4 linked regions of the Coturnix japonica genome follow. Each later gene encodes a partner of the first gene's protein in a complex. Links are inferred from orthologs where the notes say so. Each region holds a gene or a part of one and is shown in the gene's direction. Other genes may lie near its edges.

Region 1 (5,601 bases):
GCTGGCTGCCGTCAAGCTCGAGTCGGAAAACAATGAATATGAAAGAGCGAGGAGGCTGCTGGCAAAAGCTCGCAGCAGTGCCCCCACTGCAAGGGTAGGGATGTGTGAAGGGTGGAGAGGCCAAGGCTTCTCATAGCAATGGGGGAGCTGAGTCGTAAGCAGGAGCTCCTTCAGTTCTGTGGCCTCAAGTGATTGACCAGATGGCTCCCTGCCATTGCCTTTTGCAGGCACCGTAGCACTTCTCCAGCAAATTGCAACACTCGGTTGCAGCATGATGGGAACAGAGGCTGGGATCAAGTGAAGGGTTTCACATTTTTTCACACAAATGGCAAAAGTCAGGAAATTCCCAGTTTACAGCTGTTTGTATAATGTTCATGTTGCATAAAAGCGTGTCTTGGAGAAGAGAGAGTGAAAATATTTTTTGCAGAAGACTCAATTATGCTGTGCTAAAGACGGTGCTCATCGGATTTATTTAAAGTTACAGTCTTGTGTTTATCTCTACGGTTACTTCTGCTGTGATAAATGTTGTCAATATTTAGCTGTGCATACAGAATCGTTTCGATTTGACCAAGTAAGAGGAAAAAACCTGGTTTGCTGTGTGGAGATTTGGACCTTTTAGATTGTCCTCTTCTCCTGTCAGTCATGGAGCCTTCTGCTCCAAACTAAGGCTCATGAATAACTTCCCAATGTATGCACAGACATGGGAACCCACTGCATTGGCAGAGTTCTTGTTTTTGTTGCTTTTGTTTCTTCCCCAGTGATAAACGGCTCCGTCTCTTTGTCAGGTCTTCATGAAGTCTGTGAAGTTGGAATGGGTGCTGGGAAACATTGCTGCGGCACAGGAGCTTTGTGAGGAAGCCCTGAAACACTATGAGGACTTTCCCAAACTGTGGATGATGAAAGGACAAATCGAGGAACAAAAGGAGCTGGTAGAGAAAGCAAGGGAGGCTTACAATCAAGGGGTAAGATGCATGTTATTGTAAGCTTGCTTTGTGCTTGTGATATGGACAGATGTCTGTCTTCAAATCAGGATGGAGAGGGCTCTGTCCCATATTAACAGTGGAGGTGATTTCTCTCCCTGTCATTGGTTAAAACAGTAAGAGAAAATTATTAGGGTGTTGAAATAAGCAGTGAGAATTTATCTCTTAGCTGGTGTGTGTGTGCAGAATTCGCTTTCTTGCTTGAGAGAGTTTGCTGTATGCTTGACTACTCACTAGCAGGAATGAAGTCATTACACAATAATTCTCTAAGACCTGCAACGACTAAACAGCAGAACTTCTTAACAGAAGACCCTGCTAATAAGGTTAGGTAAACACTGTAAAAGGAGATTGTCTGCTGAGTACTCATGTGTCTTCTAAATGGTAATTGGCGTCCTGTAGGAATGCTCCTGAAACTCATCTGCCCTGCAAGTAATAGGGAAGCAGGTTTCTGCCGGTGTCTGTATCCTAATGACTTTGTGAGCTTCAAGGGCAATGCGTTTCCTGCGTACTCTGCAGGTGTGATTTTGTTATTTATTAGAGCTCTCCATCTCTAGATGGAGCACAGGTCATAGATGTACTGTTAAGGGAGGTGTATTCTTTCTTTTTGCTTGGCATTGAGGAAGTTTAGTCATAGTGGTGTTCTTGGTGTTTTGGTTATAGGAGAAACTAGATTTCTACTGTTTTAGTGCTATATGATTAACTAGGAGAAATCTGAGAGATGTGGTCACTTATCTCACTTCTGAACTCCTCAGAAAGATTCAAGGAAGGGATTCCTTTTCTATGGGGGTTATAATGTTTTCAGATCTGCATAGTAACCGTACCTTTTGTTATCATATTAAACAGCTGAAAAAGTGTCCCCATTCCATCCCTCTGTGGCTTTTGCTGTCCAGACTGGAAGAGAAGGTGGGACAGTTGACCAGAGCAAGGGCTATCTTGGAAAAGTCTCGCCTAAAGAATCCAAAGAATGCGGATCTCTGGTGAGTTGTGTAGACGTGAACTTAGTTTGAGCTGCAAGATCGATGCATGCATGAGGTATCTCACACCTCAGTTATTTGATCACAGAACTTATGAGCACACCTATCCTAGCACTTCTTCTGAAGAAGGGCTCTGGAGATTCTGGCTGCTGTGTGGCTACTCTGAGGAGCTGGGGACCTGTTGTTTCTTTACAGATAGTTGCAGTGTAGAGAACATGAAAATCAAGGGGTCTTTTGTTTCTATCATAGGTTAAAAATGATATGAGAAATGGACTAGGCCATTGCAAAATGTGTTTTTTAATGGGGAGGAATGGGAAGAAGTCAGTAAGGTGCATGTGTTCATATGGGCATGTTTGTAATTTCCAGTGACTTTCATGTGACTCAGAGTTGATTTGTGTTACAGAGTGAATGTGTTACAATAAATATCATCACTGGGTTTCTTTATTACCAGGTTAGAGTCTGTGCGACTGGAGTACAGAGCTGGGCTGAAGAACATTGCAAATACTCTGATGGCCAAGGCCTTGCAAGAATGCCCTAATTCAGGTGAGCTGGGTGTCATTTTGATCTTAAACCTGGTTATGTGTTTGCTCAGTTAGTAAAGGATTATCTTTATCCAAGATGGCCTTTCTGGCCATGTCTCAGAATAATGCATTTTAGAGAAGTGACAGCCATTCTCCTGCAAAGGGAGGGTTGGGGGGGGCTTTGTGAATGATCCTGGTTACTTTGTAGTGCTTCACACTGAAGGGAACATGGGTTGGTGTTGGCATCATCGATTTTGTGGTCCACAGTTTGTCAAGAGGTTTCATGCAAAATAATCATGGACATGGGTGGCTTTTCTCTGAGGCTGGTAGAAGTCTGTGCCAAGGTTTAAAACTGAAGAAAGACTCTCAAGCTTTTGTAATTAGGGAGTTTGGTGGAAAAAGGATGTTTTTTCCCCTGTCTCATTGGGGTATAATTGACCATAGGAGACTTCCTGTTGTTGGTTTGCCCACACTGATTGCACTACTAATGGGTTTTGATTATTTTAGCTCATCATATAAGCTCTATTTGCCTTTCCTTAACGAAGTTGGTTGGTTCTAACCAGCAGTGGAAACATTTGCCTCTTGGGATGGGAGGAGAAAATGGAAGTTTCCTTTCTTTTTTTTCCTTTTTGACAGAATTGTGGGAAGGCTTTAATTCTTTGAACGTGTTGACATCTTTGGAGAGATGTCACTTCAGTAGAAAGTGTGGTAACCTACCACAGGGCAAGTCTTTTTAGTTTGCCTTCAGGCTGGTTTTGAAAGGTATTTAGTTGATGACTGCTTAAGTCACCCCAGTGAAGTAATGGGAGTTAAGTGACTTTTATGGCTTGATCAACTCACTGCAAGCTGCTTGCTTTGTGAGTGGGCCAACAAAGTAATACCAGCTTTATTTTATGAAGGACCTAACACTTGTTGTGTTTGCCACCTCAGGCTCTTCTGCAGATTCTGCCTGTTGCTATAGAAATAGGCAGTAAGATCTCAGATTCTGTTTAAATAAAATAACTCCCAACTCTTAAAAGTTTACAAACCAGGAAGAAAAACCTGCAGGATTGAGTTTGTTAGACACCTACAATTGTGTAAACCTGACCCGCGTCCATCAGTTGCTGATCTGATTACCATTGCTTGTGGCTGACATAGATGGCACAAAGGATAAAATCATGAACTGAAATACATCAGTGTTTGTGTCCTCAGCAGGACTGAAAATAGAGGTCTGTGAGAATGGTTTGACTCTATGTAAAGAGCAAATCTAGAGTTCTGCTGCAGTCTGTCACTGCTGTCATCTGAGTGTGTTAATTCCCATGTGCAGTTTATGGGAAGTGAGAGTGCTTTGATAGAGTCCTGGCAGACCCAAGCTTTCAGGCTTTGCCTTGAAGTGATCAACAGGTATGGTTGACTGGCGTTAGAAACTGAAGATTTCATGCTCCTCTGAGCATGTTTCCTTTCTTGCTTTTGGCAGTGAAAGGAACTAGGGATTAAACCCAGCTTTCCTGGCCCTACCGTGTCCTTCGTCATATGTGTGGAGAGCCAGCATCAATAATACTGTGGTGTTCTTTGGCACCTTTGAAACTGCTCCCAAGTGGTGTACTTTACACCTTGTGGGACTTCACCTGCCACTGTAGCTTTCCATTCAGACCAGCTTGTTGCTGCTTCTGAGTTCCCCTCTGCTGTGTGCGGTGTCTAATTGGAAAGGCTTAAGCTCTGTGCTCGTGCACACTGCTGTTGTGGTACAGAAACATTCAGAACTGAGGGTCCTTTGCTAAATTTCAGAGTATTGAATGAAGCATCCATGATGAAAGAGCGATTTGAGACAAGGTGGAGGTGCAGGGATAACTTCTGGGGTGGGCACAGTAGTGCTGCTCACTTCATAGAGCGCTGGCCTGATGATGGGGAGGATTAATCTCTGATTCACACTAAATCTTTCTACTTCACTTGATTAAGGAATCCTGTGGTCAGAGGCAATTTTCCTTGAAGCGCGACCACAACGGAAGACCAAGAGTGTGGATGCCCTGAAGAAGTGTGAGCACGACCCACACGTTCTGTTGGCTGTGGCCAAGTAAGTTCCCGTCCTGATGTAGTAAAGACACTCATTTTGGTGTGTGTAGCTGCATCCCTGATGAGACATTGCACTTGAGCACGACCACGTGATGCTGGCTGCAGCAGCTCTAATGAGCCTCAGAGCAAGTAGCAGCTCTCAAGCTGTCTCCTAGTAACTGCAAATCTGCTGCTCTACCTTGATTCAGAACAAGGGATGTCAGCCTGCCCTCAGGCTCTCCTGGTGGGTTTGGGAGTGCAGCATGGACAGTAATATGTTCACATTGAGTCCTTTTCTACTGCTGGGTTTGAAAACCATCTTGGTGCCCCTCAGATGGAATTTTAGCATGCTTTCAGATAGGCTTACTTTGGTTTTACAGGATACGTTTTAAGTATTTTTGAAAACATGGACCATTTCTGCTGGTTGATGTTTGCATTTTAAGTGTCTGATGCTGTACTCTTCATCTTTTCTCTCTATTCATCTCTTCATCTATTTCTCTCTATTGTCAGATACTTCTAATCTTAAGCTACTTTGTGCTGTTTGTTTTCTCCATGCACAAATTTCTGCTATGTCAGTTTTCTTTCAGCGGTGACCCTTCCTGGAATGCAGACTACAAGTCACACTCTAGTTTGCTTCACTAGAACAGGAAGAGAGTCTACTAGGAATTGTCTGCTTCTCTAGATCAAGTTGTGAGGTTTCCAGTGATGAGGAACTATTATTAGAATTGACTCACACCATATCCTTTCTGATCTGATTGCAGACCGCTCCACAGCAGTTATGACTGGAACAGGCTTCTCTTCCTTTGTGAATACCAGCAGAGGTTAACGCAGAAAGCATGTTGCCCAAAGAGTTGCCCAATTCTTTCACAACTCTTTTTTATAGGCCAAAGAAAACTGCAGGATACACTCCAGTGACTGCAATGCTGGGTGTTCTGACAGATCACAGCTGCCTTGTTCTGCCTTAGCGGCAAGTGAGAGAAATGTTAACTTTTGCTTTGTTGAAACAGCTTCCAGGCACTTTCTGGTGCAACCTCAGGCAGTTGAGCAGCTAATCCCAACACAAACAGCTTCTGCCTCCCATCGTGACTTGCTTGT
Region 2 (5,143 bases), on another chromosome or scaffold:
CTGCTGCTTGTGAACGTTTTTTCTTGAATTTCAAAGAGATCAGAAGGATCGAGCTGCCTGGAGGGGCTGTCCAGATGTGTGTAATTTGCTGTGCTGCGCCTTGAAGAGCTTTGCATTTTCTCTCTCTTCTAGTGGTACTCGTGTTCTAGCTCTGTTTCTGCAGTTGTACAGAGAAATCTGCTTTTGTTGTATTCTAGCACTGCAGAGGGATGCAGAGACACATCCCTGTGTTGATTTGCCTCTTACCTTTGAAGCTAAACAGATTGCTTCTTTTCAGTCAAAGCTTGAGTTGCAAAGCAGGGCATCAGTATGATTGGTGGCAAGTATGGTGGGTGGCATACTGAGTGCTAAGCTGAGCCATGGAGCTGTGCTAGTTTCTCTTAGTCAGATAAACTCCATAATCCTCCTGCTTGGGGCTAGAGTAGCTCTGAGGTAACATCTCTCTTTGGAAGTGATTTCCCTGTGGTCTCTGACTTCTGCTTCAGTCACTGGCCAGGACTGTCCCTAAGTCATTTGTATTTATTCATTGTTTTCTCTGTATTTTGTTGCAGTCCTTGAATAACTTCTGTAGTCAGATTGGGGACGATCGCCCGCTGTCCTACTGCCACTTCAGTCCCAATTCCAAACTCTTGGCTACTGCCTGTTGGTAAGTTCTCTTCAAAGCATTTACTTTAGGGCATGGTGTCCAGTCTTTTGGCTTGCCTGGTCCGCACTGAGTGTTTCGTCTCTATAAACATTCAGGAATGTCGATGAATGTCAGCAGGTGCCATTTTGTCCTCAAGGAGGAATTCAGTGACACACCTTTTGCTCCATGTGTGTTTCCATGTCAGATGCTGTTTTGTCAGACTGCCACTTTCCCACTGCAGAAGCCCTTGGTGTAGTTTGTTTGATAAGCTGTTTGATGTTCCTGTCTACACTGACTTCTGTTTCTTGTGTTCAACAGGAGTGGACTGTGCAAGCTGTGGTCTGTGCCTGACTGTAACCTTGTTCACACCTTACGAGGTAAAGAATGACTTTCACTGATATCCTGTGTAATTCTTTTGTTCCTCTCTATGCTGAATTCCTGTGCCTGAACTGTTTTGTGACTGAAAATGTGTCAGATAGTCCAGAGAAAGTCCTGACCTTTCTCTTAAAGAAAAAAACAGAGTTTGTTGTTTCCATTTCTGGATGATGATTTATATTTTGCTTCACTTCAAAACCTGGTTTGAGTTATTTTGAGCCAAGTATTAACATTCTTGGTCAGACCACGTAGTACCAATGAGGTTCTCTGAACGTGGGCACAACTAAATACAAATCTCTTCACTCACATCTGGTGAATTTTCACTGTGTTTAGAAGGCTGCAAATCTCAGTGTTTGATATTCTTAAATGGGTGCCAGTGGAATTGTAATTTGGATTTTGATTTTCCTTTCTCTTAAGGACACAGCACCAACGTAGGAGCAATAGTCTTCCATCCCAAAGCCACTGTCTCCCTCGACAAGAAGGATGTTAACTTGGCCTCGTGTGCAGCTGATGGTTCTGTCAAACTCTGGAGCCTTGAAAGGTCAGAGTGGCATGTATAGATGCAGTGTTGTTGTTTGGGGTTTATCTTATGAAATAATGGACGTTTACTTTCCTCCTGGCAAACACAGCCTGTTATTGTAACACCAGTGCAATTCCCAGCCTCCTTGAGCAGAGAAAGACAGTTGTTTATTAGTCTCACGTGACCACATTTCTTTAGTCTGCTGCAAAGATATTCTCTGTACTGTTCTGCTCTTCCACTGCAGGCTGCTGCACATAGCTCTGGGAGAATAAATATTTGCTCTATCCTGCCTGCCCTGGCTTTCTTCAGCATAGCAGAGTTTGCTGCAGTATGGGATGTTCTGTGTAGTGACAGCAAAGACAGTTTTTGCTGTTGACGCTTTCAGATTAATGAAGGGCCTTGTCAGTTTTTGAAACTAATTGTTCCAGGAGAACTTACTGCTGAGGTTATGAATGTGGATAAAGGGCTTTCACTTAGAGCTTCAGCTGTGTGAGCAGAAAGCAGTGTTTAGAGTCAATAGTCAGAACACTGACTTTCTTGTCTGGCCTGCATTAAAGTCTGTCTCACTGTGGTCACAGCTGCAAAGGTTTGGCTTGAGTCAGCCACCCTGACCAGTGTCTGATCTTGTGTCTTTCAGTGACGAACCAGTGGCAGATATTGAAGGCCACAACATGCGAGTGGCACGTGTGATGTGGCACCCTTCCGGCAGGTTCCTGGGCACTACCTGGTAAGGGGATTCTGATGGGTTTTTTTTGCTTGTTTAAGATGCTATTACTTACAGTCACTGGGATTCATGAAAGCCTTCCTTTCCCTGCACCTCACGTGAGACCCAGTTGGACACAGTGGACAGGAGGTGGTCTGAGGAGGACAGTGGTGCTGAGGGAGAGGGGGACTGAACCGGAGCTAAACAGTACAAAGGTGATCTGAAAGTCCAGTTCCAGAAGCAGAAATGGTTGCTGCTGCTCAGGGGATTTCAAGTGCTAAGGGAGCAACACTTAAACTTTAAGGATGCTACACTGATGTGGAAGTGGGGAAGCTCCCTGCTCTCCCAGGAGCGTGCTGAGGATCTTTGCGTTTCTGAATTTATAGCTTCATTTCTGGCTGTGATTTCCTAATGCTCAATGGACCAGGCAGAGTGAATGTCCTGACAGCTGGTGTGTGTGTGCCCAGTTCAAATAGGATTATGTGATCAGATTTTAATGCTTTTTTTTCTTTGTTATAAAGTTACGATCACTCGTGGCGCCTGTGGGACTTGGAAGCCCAGGAAGAGATTCTCCATCAGGAGGGGCACAGCAAAGGGGTCTATGACATCGCCTTTCACACGGACGGGTCTCTTGCTGGGACGGGGTGAGTTTGTTTGCATCAGGACTGTATGAGAAACATTACCAAGATTTTGTTGCTCACTGATTCCAAAAGCCACAGTACTGGTGTTCTGTCAGCTGCTGAAGTCTGGAGGGTGATGCTGTTTGGGTTTTCTCTTCTCAGTGGACTGGATGCTTTTGGCCGCGTGTGGGATTTGCGCACCGGGCGCTGTATCATGTTTCTGGAAGGCCACCTGAAGGAGATCTATGGACTTAACTTCTCCCCAAATGGGTAAGACAGGAGCTTGCATGTGTTGTGTGGGAGCTCTGAGTACAAAGCTCAGCTTCCAACACATTCTTCCTTGGCAGATACCACGTTGCAACTGGCAGTGGTGACAATACTTGCAAGGTCTGGGACCTCCGGCAGAGAAAGTGCATCTACACCATTCCTGCCCATCAGAACCTGGTGACTGGGGTGAAATTTGAACGTAAGTATCTCCTGTCTGATGTTCCATGTTCCTGCTTTTTCTCTACTGAGGTGGCAGGGAATGGGGCAACTCAAAATCACATCCTTGGATCCGGAGGATCAGTAGTGAGTAGTGGTAGAAGATTTGTCATGTATTTATTTGCAAAACTAATTTCTCCCTTTTTTTCCCTCAACTGCAGCCAATCACGGTAACTTCCTGCTGACAGGCGCCTATGATAACACTGCCAAGATCTGGACTCACCCTGGCTGGTCCCCTCTGAAAACACTGGCTGGTCATGAGGGAAAGGTGATGGGACTGGACATCTCCCTCGATGGCCAGCTGATAGCAACGTGCTCCTATGACAGAACCTTCAAGTTGTGGACAGCAGAGTAGCTCAGAGGCACTGATGATGAACTGGGACAGAGACGATAATAATGGCTTAGAACTAAGAGCTGGGTTTTTGTATATTAAATTTTTTTAAAAGGAAAGGAATTGGCTGTTGCAACATGTATCGCAGTGGCTGTGCTCAGTAGCTCTTGGTTTCCTGGCTGAGGTGGTTTTGAAGCATCTGTGCTGACCAGGGCTTGGTTGGAGTCAAAGCTGGGATGATGTTCTTCCACTTTTTAGGACTTGTTTTGTATTGCAGATAGTGGTTTTCTGCAGTAATTTGGAGATGAACCACCTTCTTCCACCTCCCTTCCAAGACAGGCTCATGTGTTTGCTCTGGTCTGTTTCGCACTAGTGCAGGGCTCACACAGCACTTCATGTACTGTGTTGTACGTCCTCTGTTTTCTTACCTTGTTTTCCAGGATGCTTTAACAGCAGTCTTTGTCTTCTGAAAATAAAGCAGAGTTAGCTGTGAGAGGAGAGCGTACCACAGTTCCTCTGCAGGTTGGTCTCATAGAGGCCTGTATCTCCTTTGTTTCCACTTGCAGAGGATGTTTCAGTGCACATCTCATGTCCCGGCTCCTTCAGCTGTCTCACAAATTGGGTGTTTCTCCTGTTGAAGGTTTTGATGCGTCTCACCTGAGGTTGATGCAAAGAAAGCTGCTTCATTGTAGGGTCATCTTGTTATAACATCCACTTATTTGTTGTTTATTCTTTAAACTGAAGATATCAGATGTGTTCTAGAAAGTCAAAATGTGGCTTGAACGTGTGCACTTGCTTCTGGGTCTGACTAAGAAGTGGAAGGATTACATGGGTGTTGTGATACATGGTTTGATTTCTGTCTATCTTAAAATATCTTCAGGAGAAAAGAGAAAGCATTCATTGAACTTGAGCACACATAGCTGGATATTTAGGCTTACACAAGAGAACACAGCAATTAAACCCCTTTGTAGCCAGGTTTTGTGGGGGTTTTATGACTCAAGCCCACAGTACTCTTTCCGGAGTGAGAATTTGGCCTGAGTGCATCACTGGTTCAGCTTCTCTTCTAGCCAGCTCTAACTGCTTCCCACCACCCACAAGCAAATAGTGAGCGCCCCCTGTGCACCATCATCTGCATCACTGCCCTGCAGGCACGAGGTCACCCATTGCCTGCTGTCAGTGGACTTTGGGGATCAGATCCCCATGGGCAGTCTGCTGGGAAGGATCCTACGGTCAAAGTGTTGCCACCTCCTCCAGCTCCAGCTCCTCGAGGTGTCTCAGCTGCAGCACGTGGATCCCTGAGTGGAAGCTGGCACAGAGCAGCGTGGAGCCATCACAGGCAGCCAGCGAGGACAGCGGTCCGGCTCCCTCAAGACATGTGGTGGCCAGGCAGGCTGAGGAGGGAAGAGAAAAGTCACTCCAACACCAGGTGAGATGATCAGATTTCTATTTTTTATCCTATCCTGAATTAATGCCCTGCCTACCTCCA
Region 3 (6,111 bases), on another chromosome or scaffold:
CAACAGCTCTGTCATTAACCATGTCCAGGAGCAACAAATAAGGAAGAACTGGGAGAATATGATGGCACTGTCCAAGCCAATGCATTACAGCACATCACAGAGCACCCTCAGCTCTGGTTTAGCAGAGCTTGGCTCCTTTGTGCCCCATCACAGCACATTCTGATCTGCTCAAGCAATGCCACTCTGTGAGCACTGCAAGCACAGCCCCACGTGCTGAGCCCCATTACAGATGAGAGGGATTAAAGGTCAACCTGCTCACCAGGCTGCAGCTGAGAGAAAAAACATACAAATTCCTTTTGGTTTATTTATTTGGAATTCCCTCTGCTAAGTGGGGGAGAAAGACAGCGGGCTCCGTGCACCATTTCACTGCTCTGAAATGCAAGGAGTCAGCCTAGGGATTCCTTATTCGCCTTTGCTATATGAACCCAACCTCACTAAGTTCTACCAGCAAAGGGATTGCTGAACAAAACATAACCAAGCTGAGTGCCTGCATACAGGGCGAGATGACCTCAGTGGATGCAGCAGACTTAGAGCCACAGCTGGAATGCATGCAGGGGGTGCAGGGGAGTGCAGGGGGGTGCAGGGGGTGCATGGGGATGCATGGGATGCATGGGATGCAGGGGATGGTGCTGCTCTAATGGATGCTCCAAGGATGAAGTGACAGCATTACCTGCACTGCAATCCAACTGGCATTGACAGCATGCTCTCCAAAGGGACCAAACCCTGCAAGAGAAGAAAAGCCCCCGGTGAGCAGCTGAGCCCTGCACCTTGGATTTAAACCCAAGAAGCACCAAGTGCAGCTGTTGATGTGCTCTGAAAGAAAAGCCACTGCTTGTAACACCCAGTCCCTACTGGGGGTGTATTGCTGACCAGGTTAGGAACACTTGTTAGCTATGGAGGAGCTGAGTGATGGCATAGAATGGGGATCATGATTGGATCTTCTAACCCTGATTGTAACAGCCCACAAACACAGACAAGTCTCCATCCAGCATTTCTCTGCTCACACCTTCACCAAAATCCCTTCTGCCTTAATAGGAACCAAACAAAGCACTGCTGACCCACCTGCACCGAGCACCAAAGGTTACACAACGCTATAAAAACACTTACGTCCCCAAATCTGCATTTCCTAATGAGTAACTCGGAGTTAACTAGTAACCCATCACATCTTTCCCTGAGCGAGCACACAAAGGTTGGGCATTTATCTGGGCGTGGGATCGATATGCTTTAATTTCAGATGGCAGAGCTACCCTGTGAGCCTAATGCAATCAGAAGGCACGCACTGCATCTAAGTCAGGACCACAAATATTACATGACACACTAATGGAAACCTCCCATGTGCTGCCAGCAGAAGGGGAGGGCTGAGGTTACACCGCACACAACAGCAACAGGGCTTTGTACAGCTCAATGGGATCTCAGTATCAACCTGAGCCTCCAAGCGGAACCAGCATCAATATCTCCCCATAATAACCCTCCTGAAGGCTCCCACAGGATCCTAATGCACTTGTTGTTTCTCCATATATAAGCTATAGATGTGAGAGCACCAAACAGGTGTTTCATTGGGATGGTTTCAATATGAATCACACCAGCTTTCCAGGTACCCCAATGTAACCAAAACCTCTCGTTCTGAACCCAACTGAGCTGCCCCCTCACTCATCCTCCACACCGACCCCCAGATCGATTCCTTGCATATCAGATGAGCAACTTTATGGGTAGCACCAAACCCAGCCTCAGCCACCCCACACCCAGCACAGGGTCCTGCCGGGCACACAGCACTGAGCCCACCCTGCAGACCTTCATGGGGTTGCAATGGGGTCTCAGTGCGACCATCAGGGGCAGATCCAGCACCATCAGCTCTGAATGTTTGAAGCAGAGACCACCCCCCAACCCCCCCGGGGCAAGAGATGGGACAAATACAGCGGGGACCGGGGGGGGGGGGTATAACCGGAGGGGTCTGTGACACGCCGCAGCCCCGTCGCGCCCCTCCCAATCCCCGTACACCCCCACCAGGACCCCGACACCCCCATGTGCCCCTCACCGCCCCCTCCCAATCCCGCATCCCCCCCGTTGAGATAATGGAATCAGAGCCCACCCTGCCGTCCCCTCCCCACCCCCCGGTCTCGTTCCATCCGCCCGTACCCGTTACCACCACCGCCCTCCGCGGTTTCTCCATCTCCGCTCCCGCACCGCACTGAGCGACCGGCCCCGCACGGTCATAGAGCGCGCTCCGCCCCGACGCCCAGAGCGGCCCCGCGCGGCCATAGAATACGCGCCGCCCCGAGGACCAGAGCGGCCCCGCGCGACCATAGAGTGCGCGCCGCCTCGCTGCCTAGAGCGCCTCCTGAGCGCCGCTCCGTGCCGCTTCCCGCTCGGCGTTTCAATTTACGGCACTGTCGTGACGCTGTGCACCGCCAACCTCGGCGATGCTTTACGGCCGAGGCGGGTCCTGCACGCTGATTGGCTCCGCGAGGACCGCGCCGAGCTCTGATTGGTCCCGTGTGGGGCCGGGGGTGGTTTGAGCGGCAGCGCCCGGCGCGGCGGCGGCTCCGCGGTTCCGGCACGATGGTGAGTGCGGGAATGGGCCGGGCCGGGCCGGTTCGGTTGTCCCGGTACTCCCTGAGCCCCTACATGGGGATCCGAGGCGGTCCCGGTTCCCGGTTGTTGAGGCCTTTCTCTCTTTCCCCCGCAGCTGCCCCTGTCGTTGCTGAAGACGGCGCAGAACCACCCTATGGTGAGTCCCGGCCCACTCCCGCTGCGGCCTATGGGCCCGGTGCCGCCCCGTCGGGTCCCGTTGGGTCCCCGTGCCGCCCCGTCGGTCCCGGTTCCTTCATGCTGACCCCCCCCCTTTGCTTCTTCCAGCTGGTGGAGCTGAAGAACGGCGAGACGTACAACGGGCACCTGGTGAGCTGCGACAACTGGATGAACATCAACCTGCGGGAGGTCATCTGCACCTCACGGGTAACCAGCTCAATGCCAGGACCCCCATTGCGCCCATAGACCCCCTACTTTGAACAGCATCAAAGCAGATCAGGAATGAGTTGTCCCCATTGCGCCCATAGACCCCCCCCATTGCGCCCATAGACCCCCCATTGCGCCCATAGACCCCACATTGCTATCAGCCCCCAGCCCTGCAGCTGAGTGGGACTCGCAGAGATCCTCACCCTTCTGTGTGTGTTGCTTTTGCTTTGAATGTGAATGTAACGCAGTTATGAGGTGTAAGAAACGAATGAGCCCATTGACAGCAGGGTGAAGGTGCTCAGTGTGAAGGGCTGGTGACAGGTCCTGTCCCATTGCCCGCTCCATGCAGCCCCATCGAGCACAGTGCTGCCTTTCATCATCACCTGCCTCACGCCCTGTAACTCCACATCAAAAGTTATTAGGGCCTCTTGTTTAACCGGGTTGTGCCTCGTCTGCTACTTTTGCCCATGGCCAAAGTGCTCCGAGAAGAGATTGGGATCTGTGCTTTGAGCTCTGACCTCAGCCTCAAGTGTCTGGTCTTGTCCCTGGCAGCCTGTGCCTGGCCACGTTCCTGCTGCTGCTGCTGCTCTCTGTGCCTGGGAACATCACGGGTCTGTGGGGGAGGCTGTCAGGGAAACCCTTCTTCTTCAGGAAGGGTTTCTGTGCCTGTTGGACCCACAGCAGGAAGGTATTGGCCAATAGTGCTGGGGCACGGAGATGTGATGTGTGTACTTAAACAAAGCAAAGGTTTAAGAAGGATCATAACAGCAGAGCAGTGAGCCCTAAAAATCTGGATCCACAGATTGTTGGGGCAGATAAACAGATAAGTTCAATGGGAAGGGGTGGCAAGTGGCAAAGCCTTACTAGTGCTTGCAGAACAAGGGATGCCGGCCTTTAATACTGCTTCCTCATTAAGCAGCTTTGTGTTGCTGTGGGCAGAGCACTTCAGCATTTATACCCACCGAGTGGTCTGCAGTTCACTCCCCACCCCTAAATACCCCCTGGGTGCTACTGGGGGGGTATATATGGAAGCCTTCCTGGTGGCACGGTGGGGATCAGCCACTAGATGGCATGGAGCTGCGGCAGCTGTTTACATGGGGAGCTGGAACGAGGAAGCCGGGGACCTGGCTCCATCCCTTCCTGCATAGAGAGCCAAAGTGCAGCCGGGCGGATCCAGGCAGGGTGGGGTTTGCTGGGTGCCTGTTTGAAGAAGGCTGCTTGTCTCACACACACGGAACTTGCCTGTGCATGCTGCATTGCCCCAAATAACACCGGAGCAGAGGAGGAGGGGGGTACAACTTGATTCTGGAGAGGTGAAACGAGGCATTCTGGTTTCACCCACTCCTCTGGGATGTTGTGGACACTCTGTCCATGTGTGATAGTTGTGAGGAGCCTGTGTTCAGCCAAGCCCTGCAGCAGAGCACGGCCGTGCGCACGAGGTTCCATCCCTCCTCCCGCTTACATCAGTTGTTGTTCAACTTTCACATGCAGTTCCTATTCCCACAGCCACAGGAGCTGAAGCCCTGATGGGCTGTGTCCTAGCAAAGCCCTGAAACTGCCTTAAACAAAACACAGAGGCAGCTGCTCCGTAACTTGGCACCCGAAGGTTTCTTTGAACGTGATCTGTAAGCTCTTATTTTCCACAGCCGCGGTTCCTGTGCGCTGCTGGGCTCACCCCACACCCAGCTGGATGCTCCTCGCTGCTCAATCCACACCACAAAGGGGTTCAGTTTGTAGGTGACTCTGGTTGGGGCTTTATGTGCTGGAACTGCCCCGTGTTGCAGCAGCTGTGTTGAACTTACCACATTTCCCTCTCCAGTCCCACTTTCGATTCTCTTCTTGTATGAGAAGCAAAGGGAAGGTGCTGTTTCCTCTTCTTCCTTCACTTTCTGTGAGAGTCAAAGGCGGTTGTGAACGGGCTGAAACTGCAGTGGCTCATGGCTGAACGCCCCCTGACTCCCCAGCAGGTTGTAGGGCTGCGTGTTTTAAAGGGAAAACAGGAATTTCACAGCTAATTATGGGTTGTACATTCAGAATAGACTATTACATCTGTCGCACGCTTCAGAAGTGATGGAGATATTCAAGTGTCAAAAAGCAACTTAAGTGCACGTGGTTTTGTTCTCAGCTTAACACGTTGCTTCCCAATAGGATGGTGACAAGTTCTGGAGGATGCCAGAGTGTTACATCCGTGGCAGCACAATTAAATACCTTCGGATCCCCGATGAGATAATTGACATGGTGAAAGAAGAGGTGGTCTCCAAAGGCAGAGGCCGTGGTGGGATGCAACAGCAGAAGCAGCAGAAAGGCCGCGGTGTTGGAGGTGCTGGACGAGGTAACGATCCTTTTTGCTTTTCAGTTCAGAGAGGGGGTGACTGGGATTCCTGCCTTTAAATTCCACCTCTTGTGCAAGGAAGGGATGATGCTTCTCAGTTTTGAACCCAGAGCTGTTGGTCTATGAGAAGCTGGAGCTGCTCCTGTGCAAGATCGAGTTGAGTGAGTGTTGTCTGGCTTCTAAGTCAGCCTCTGCCAAAGAGCAGAAAGGAGACGTGCCAGGGATGAGCCTCGTTCCTGGGCTGGGCAGGAGCTTAAGGGAGTCTCTGAAGCTGTCTGGTTCTGCCCCTCCTGGCTGGTTACAGAACACGGCCCCACCAAACTTCTGGTGTCTGTTGGCTTTGCAGATGTGGGAGGGAAACAAGTGGCTGTTCTGTTTGAAATTGGACTTGAATTTGACCATCCCAGTGGTAGGAAAAGATCTTTTTCTCCCATTAGGATGGGATTTCTCATCAGGATGGGATTTCTCATCTTGTGCTCTGCTCCTTTCTTCTTTTTTAACATCAGATATCTGAAGGTTTGTTTTCCTCCTGTTCCAAATGAATATTTCATGTTTCTGATAAAAGGTTCCCACTTACATAGAAAGAGGTCAACCCTGCTCCGCCTTCCCCGTCCCATTTCTCGTGGTTGGGTTATCTTGGACTACTTCAGCCTGGGGAAATATCTGCCCTTTGTGAGCACAGTCCTGCTGGATGCCTGAGAAGCATTTCTCTCTCGTGCTCACACCTCCTGCCACGTCTTGACAATTCACTTTGTGGTCACTGTGCTCAGCCCCAGGGATTCTCAGTTCAGCCTGCAGTAGGAGCTTAAATGCCAGGCAAACTG
Region 4 (6,214 bases), on another chromosome or scaffold:
CCTGAGAGAAAAAAGTTTCTATAGTGAGTTCACAAGAGATGTTCTTTGCTGGAACTACTGTCCATGGTGATGACCAGGATGCCTCTACTGCTCCTTTTGGCAGAGACAGGCAACAATGAAACCTCCCAAGCACAAAAAGGGTGGGCACAGGACTAAGTGGTGTCCCAAGGCAGTAAAGCCTTGCAGTACCTGTCCGTGTCTCCTGTTCTACATCCGACTGACAGTTTAACCCAAGTAGAACAAGCAGATGCACACCACAGAGAAACATATACCCTACTTGAATCTGCTTTCATTTAAATGTTTACTAATTCAGTGACTGACATTTCTAAGTTACAGATGAGGAGAAGGCCAATGAGCATCTGTCAGGAATACAACATTGTTATTTTTTCACTTCTAGCCACGGCCCCAAATTATTTTATTCAAAACCTACTTTCTTTTTCATTACGTATCAGTTCAGAAATCTCAAGCACAGTCTTTTCTTTTTGACCAGTACCTTATGTGTGTCCTCACGAACTTCCTTAGTGAAACGTTTAATCATTCTTCGAACATAAGTTTCAAACTCAGCTTTCCTTTTCTCTCTGCATAAGATTAAAAAATAAAAGGATATTATGGCTTCCTGTCTATCTGCCTTCCTAGATTCCTGAGCTGCTCTCTACTACCTTCCATTTTTACCTTCTCTGTCTCTTCATAAGTTGTTCCGGGGTTTCAATCTCTATCTCAACAGGATTGCTCGGCAGCACAACTTCAGGAAGAACAGCACCTTCTTCTAACTTATCTACAAGAGGCTCCTGGAGTTCTGGGAAAAAACAAACAGAATGTTACTAGATATTGAATGAACAATGAATAATACAGCAACAAATAGTCAAATTCAAAGCACTACCTTCAAAACAGCAGTTGTATGTTTCTTTCCTACTTTGGAACTATTCCAAAGTATTGCGAGATAAGAGCCTATAATCCAGATATGCACATGAAGCATACTCTTAAGTATAAGAAGTATACAAAACAAGGAATGGCTCAAAAAGGACCTGTTGCATACAAGGATGTTTACAACTAGAATAGACACGCAGTTGTTACCTTCCACGTCCTCCCATTCATCTTCACTTTCATCATCGTCATCATCATCATCAGTATTGTCTTCATCCATCTCTTTTTTAATAGGAGATTCTCTCTTCAACTTTACCTCCTTCTGAGGGGCCTTCACTGAGTCACTATTAAAATTACAAGAATGGTTTTAGCATCAGGAAGTGCATGGGTTTGTTCATTTAAAAATGGAAGGGAATGAAAACAAAAATGAGGAAATAAACAAAGCATCATCTCTGCATCAGTAACAACAGATGTAAAGGTTGTAAGTATTTGACAACTGAACCGTGTGTGTGCCTGTAAAGCGAGCAGTCTTTGCCATGAATAATTACAGGCTCGTTGAACAACAACGTTTCAGTGCAGACACAGGTCCTGGTTCTAACAGGTTGTTTGAATGAAGATGACTGAACCTAAAAACAATGACCCATCTTTCCTAACAGCTTGTATGAATGTCTTCATTGAATCATTTGTCTTTACTGAGACCTCATAATGCACTGGGATTGGAAGTGCTTGTGTTTCACTACGCTAACACCCAATGATTTGGTTGGCCAGTGAAATGAGACCAAGCAGCTTCATTCTTCTCATTAATACAATCCCCCTTGAAATCTCTACAGGAAGACCATATATCTCACAGCAATGTTTCTGTTCATGCTCGATGCCATAAAACCTCCCTAGTCTTGTGTAGAAATAAATGAAACGCTATCTTACAATTACGATATTGATTTGAAAAGGCTCAGATATTTGCTTCCCATGCAGACTGCCTTCCTCAGACAGATCCTGCCATCAGCCAGGCAGTACTTCTGTACAGCTGTGTGTCACAGACAAACTAAACTGGCCTGCCAGCTTAACGTAACCCCTTTATGTGAACATTGTAGGGCAATGGACCCTACACAACAACCACAACATCCAACCCACAACAACCACAACATCCAACCCACAACAACCACAACATCCAACCCACAGTGAGGTACAGAGCGCATCATGATGAACAACAGCTAAGCTTACCTGCACTTTTCCTCTTCGTGATCATCCCCTTTATTTTCAGGGTCTCTCTCATTTTCTTTCACTCGCCCTTTTACCCCTTTTTGTTTTGAAGGCTTCTCTGCTAACTTAGCAATTCCAGCATCACTGTCTTCCTCCTTCTTCCTAGCTGCAACTCCGGCTCTGCTCTTCTTTACACTGTGTTTTTCTTCAACAAAATCACCTACATCGAAAAGAAAGAAATTTTCTTCATGGATATAACCTCATCCCTATGGATACATAGCAATATCTCTGCAGGCTCCAGCAGAGCTGCACTGAACAACTCCAGCCCCGGCCCATCATGGGGGGCTGCTGAGCTCCATGCTGACTGCCTCCCTCCCTCAAAGCAGAGCAGCCCCAGAAGCCGAGCCTCCCACACTCACCCTCCTCACGTTCCTCCGCACCATCCCGCCGTACTCCCACCCCTCCAGGCCGCCTTTTGCCGGCAGACACCCGCTGAACCGACGCTTTGCGCTTCCTCGCCATAGCGGCGAGCATTACCCCGCCCCTTCAGAGCGGGGGGAAGAGGCCGGGCCATAAAGTATCACGAGAGAGAGCGAGAAGCGGTTTGAAAGATGGCGGACGAGGTGGATCAGGTGAATGGCTCTTTACTTTTCTTAGGGGGGAGCGGTGTTTCTGCGGCCACCCCGGCTGCCAAGTGAGGTGGTGAGGGCCTGAAGAGAGAGCTGGTGGGTTGGTGGCACATCCGTGTGCCTTCCCTTTGCCATATGCCGTGCTGCCGTGTTGGTTTGAGCCATGCAGCCTGTCTGCTTCTGTGTGGATACTGGGACTTGAGGGAGCGTTTCAGAATGCAAACTGAGGAGTGGAGGAGTTCGTATTCACTGCTCCTGCGTGAATAACTGCTTGTTTCGGTGTTGTTTTCAGCAACAGACAACGAATACCGTCGAGGAGCCCCTCGACCTCATCAGGCTCAGTCTGGATGAGAGGATCTATGTGAAGATGAGGAATGACAGAGAGCTCAGAGGCAGGCTGCATGTGAGTGCCAATTCCAAGCAGGCAGCAGGCTGTGCTGTTATGTGCAACTATTTGTTATGTTACTGTAATGTGCTCAACAGCAGCGCTTGGTTTGTGCAGTGTTCTGCCAGAGATTCAAAAGGTGCATTTTGTTTTTCCGTGTCTGTTGTCTTTTAAATGATTCCAAGTGATTCGTTCTCTTGATTTTTGCTTTTATTCCCATGTCTGTGGACTAAGTAATAATGCAGGCATCATCTCATAAAGGACTCTCGACTCTGTTAAGATGGAAATAAGTATATCAAGCAACTGTCTTGTAGAGCAAACCCAAGGACTGCTGGGATGTGTACTCAGCTGGGTTCTCTCCATACTTGATTTGTTCTTTGTTTTCTTTTGAGAGCGATGTCTCTTAGTGAGACAAACTTTTGTTTTCTGTTTGGTTGTGTTATCCTTCTGGAATGTGGTGCTGTGCTGAGGAAGGGAACCAGTTTCCCATGTGGTAACTGGGCCTCAAATACATTTGAGAACAAAAAGGTGAGGACAGATCTGTGATGCACTGGTATAATTCCTAAGTTCCCTTTGTAGGGTGTTTGGAACAAGTGCTTAATTAAAATTTATGTATTGTTGTTTGAGTTACAGCTCTCATAGCTATAGATAATCCAATCCCAGAAATCTGGGCTGATAGCAAATAATATTTAGTTGGATTAATGCTAACGACAAGAACAAGTGTGTCCACCTCTGAGAGTTTGTGCATGAGCTTCAGAAGGAGAGTTTCAGTGAGTATAAGAGCCTTCCTTATGCTGTGGAGTACTGATGTTGGCCTTTATAGTTGAAGTTACAGCTGATACATCATGTTCACACATGGAACATCTTGACCCAAATCAGGTTAAAATAATTTTGTTTGAGTGTCTTGCTAGAATTATGGATTTAATGAGCTTGTGCTTGAATTTTGGAAGAAGTAATGAACTTTGTTCCTACAGGCATATGATCAGCACTTAAATATGATTCTGGGCGATGTGGAAGAAACTGTAACAACAATAGAGATTGACGAAGAAACATACGAAGAGATTTATAAAGTAAGGACTTCAGTGTATTTACCTCCATAGAAAACTTCTTGCAATCTAGATTGTCATGTTGTCAAAATAATGTGTTGATAACTGCACCTTTTGGACTAGGATCTAGCAGGTGTTTTAGGCAAATTGTTATGAAAGCACAAAGGACATCCAGGTGCTTGTTGATTTTGATATCTTCAGCAGGACGCGAAGTTGCATGTTTGAGCTGATGTTTGTTGGTGTTTTTTTAGGATTGAATTTTGTCACATGCTTAGTAGATGTGTTCTGTATACTTCTCTTTTGTAAATGTAATCTTTTCTTTGCTTCTTCATAGTCTACCAAAAGGAATATTCCGATGCTCTTTGTCAGAGGTGACGGCGTTGTGCTTGTAGCTCCCCCGCTGAGGGTTGGCTGAAGCAACCAAGGATTGAACCTTCTTGGAAGGTTTCAGGCTCTTGGACGATTTGTTTTGATCATGTCTCAGAATTGCATACACTTTTTAATAGAACGTTTTTGCCTATTTTTTGTGGAAGAGGAATGAGTTTTTCTTGCAGAAAGTACCTGTCAGCTGAAGCAGTGTGAAAACCTCATTTTCCCCTGAATTAATGTAACTGCTGTAAATGAGCTGTGTGTGACATAAGTAAAAGCACCCTGTTTTTTCAATCTTGGGAATAGCAGTGTCTTTTTTTGTTTGTTTTAAATAAATTTGGTTTACCTTTCAGATTTGATGTGTTATGTTTTTGTTGAAAAGGTGATTTTAATGAACTTCTCTAGTGCTAATGCTGTATTAAGTTGTGATAATGTGGCTTTGCTTCCTGAGAAAGCAGTGACTTGTTTGGTGTTTTGATTTTTGTCCATACTGAAGTTTTCCAGATTGATGTTTTGGAGGAGGGCAACACTGTGTTGGTCTATGGTGTACTAATCTATGGTTTTATGTAAACATATCCTTGTAGGAGAGAAATTCTGTGTCCTGCTTAAAATGCATTGATAGAATAGAATTTTTACAGCTTTTTCAGATGCTTCTCTTGCAGCTTTGTTAGCAGAGCAAAGCTTAGCAATACCATCAGTAGGAAACAAATTTAGTAGCCTGATTTATGCATTCATTTGCCACCATTTGTAGCCATTTTCAGTTCTTGAACACATTAAATTCTGTAGAAAACCAAAGATGCTTCCTGGTTATCAGTGGGTGCACAAGAGCCTTGTACACTGCTTTTTTTAATACATAGTTTCTCAGGCCTTCCTGATTGCACTTTATTCTCATGGTGGGGCTGGAAGGGGAATGAATGTTTTACTTGGAATGGCTATGGAATGTTTTACGAGTATATTTGAAAGGCATATTATAGACATAGACTTGGGCATTTCTTGACATACCTTAACACACAGCTTTATGAACTTGCCTGGGTTCTTACGCGTATTCAGTCATCAAAAGCAGCTTGCTTTGACACTGTCCTCCAGTTAAAATCTTCCTATCTTACCATGTCTAGTTTGTGGCAAGGGTGAAAAATGCAAGGTGGTAACTTTTTTTTTTTTTTAAAAGTAATAACTTGTTTTGGCAATAAAATAGATACCCTTCAAACTCTGGTCTCTAGGTGTCCTTTGTTCTCACAACTGCTCTCTAGCATTGGGATAGCTCAAAGGAGTGATACCCAAAGCTGTTGCTGATAATTAGTGTTAGTAGTGAACACAGCCTTTTAAATATCTTATCACATGTGTATTTCTTGCACTGCATTCTAGAAAGTTAGAATGTTTGCAAGAATTTTTTACCTTAAAGCTGTTCATGGGGCTATTTTCATATGTAGGTGCCTTGTGTGCAGAAGAAATTCTGTGCAACTTAAAACTAATACTTGAATGAAGAGTGGGTTTTGTATTAGTCTTGTAAGTAGGCATCTCTCATTATACTACCCCTGATTTAAGTTATTAGGGCTAAATACAGCTGTTACGTGTGATCCACATGTTTGCCATCTGTGCAGGGATTGGTGGATCTAGGAAACAACCTGTTGAATTCCTCCATGGAGTCATTGTAGAATGCAGTTTTGAGTTTAACTCACATAGGACACTAGGTGGTGGTGTGTCCTCAAATTTAAGCTGGG

What was found. Proteins that work in one complex are often made in the same cells at the same time.
Region 2: PRPF6 (region 1) and PRPF4 share a complex: the UniProt entries of both Homo sapiens proteins name them as parts of the U4/U6-U5 tri-snRNP complex. The link is inferred for Coturnix japonica from reciprocal best matches to the Homo sapiens genes PRPF6 and PRPF4.
Region 3: PRPF6 (region 1) and LSM4 share a complex: the UniProt entries of both Homo sapiens proteins name them as parts of the U4/U6-U5 tri-snRNP complex. The link is inferred for Coturnix japonica from reciprocal best matches to the Homo sapiens genes PRPF6 and LSM4.
Region 4: PRPF6 (region 1) and LSM3 share a complex: the UniProt entries of both Homo sapiens proteins name them as parts of the U4/U6-U5 tri-snRNP complex. The link is inferred for Coturnix japonica from reciprocal best matches to the Homo sapiens genes PRPF6 and LSM3.

Annotation. Positions count from the first base shown.
Region 1 is NC_029535.1:8,470,198-8,475,798, reverse strand, and holds part of PRPF6 (pre-mRNA-processing factor 6), read left to right. Parts: coding exon 1-94; intron 95-785; coding exon 786-962; intron 963-1,823; coding exon 1,824-1,957; intron 1,958-2,405; coding exon 2,406-2,497; intron 2,498-4,413; coding exon 4,414-4,528; intron 4,529-5,601. UniProt on the Homo sapiens protein: Involved in pre-mRNA splicing as component of the U4/U6-U5 tri-snRNP complex, one of the building blocks of the spliceosome.
Region 2 is NC_029532.1:809,530-814,672, reverse strand, and holds the end of PRPF4 (U4/U6 small nuclear ribonucleoprotein Prp4), read left to right. Parts: intron 1-551; coding exon 552-646; intron 647-943; coding exon 944-1,002; intron 1,003-1,417; coding exon 1,418-1,541; intron 1,542-2,157; coding exon 2,158-2,247; intron 2,248-2,744; coding exon 2,745-2,867; intron 2,868-3,005; coding exon 3,006-3,113; intron 3,114-3,190; coding exon 3,191-3,309; intron 3,310-3,487; coding exon 3,488-3,681; 3' UTR 3,682-3,776; downstream 3,777-5,143. Other genes in the region: WDR31 (WD repeat-containing protein 31), read right to left, coding at 4,888-5,048, 5,139-5,143. UniProt on the Homo sapiens protein: Plays a role in pre-mRNA splicing as component of the U4/U6-U5 tri-snRNP complex that is involved in spliceosome assembly, and as component of the precatalytic spliceosome (spliceosome B complex).
Region 3 is NC_029543.1:3,004,743-3,010,853, forward strand, and holds the start of LSM4 (U6 snRNA-associated Sm-like protein LSm4), read left to right. Parts: upstream 1-2,444; 5' UTR 2,445-2,559; coding exon 2,560-2,562; intron 2,563-2,686; coding exon 2,687-2,728; intron 2,729-2,856; coding exon 2,857-2,955; intron 2,956-5,103; coding exon 5,104-5,287; intron 5,288-6,111. Other genes in the region: PGPEP1 (pyroglutamyl-peptidase 1), read right to left, coding at 671-723, 2,137-2,170. UniProt on the Homo sapiens protein: Plays a role in pre-mRNA splicing as component of the U4/U6-U5 tri-snRNP complex that is involved in spliceosome assembly, and as component of the precatalytic spliceosome (spliceosome B complex).
Region 4 is NC_029527.1:8,366,056-8,372,269, forward strand, and holds LSM3 (U6 snRNA-associated Sm-like protein LSm3), read left to right. Parts: upstream 1-2,598; 5' UTR 2,599-2,675; coding exon 2,676-2,696; intron 2,697-2,985; coding exon 2,986-3,096; intron 3,097-4,052; coding exon 4,053-4,148; intron 4,149-4,458; coding exon 4,459-4,539; 3' UTR 4,540-4,847; downstream 4,848-6,214. Other genes in the region: XPC (DNA repair protein complementing XP-C cells), read right to left, coding at 1-1, 494-578, 673-796, 1,075-1,208, 2,086-2,284, 2,484-2,598. UniProt on the Homo sapiens protein: Plays a role in pre-mRNA splicing as component of the U4/U6-U5 tri-snRNP complex that is involved in spliceosome assembly, and as component of the precatalytic spliceosome (spliceosome B complex).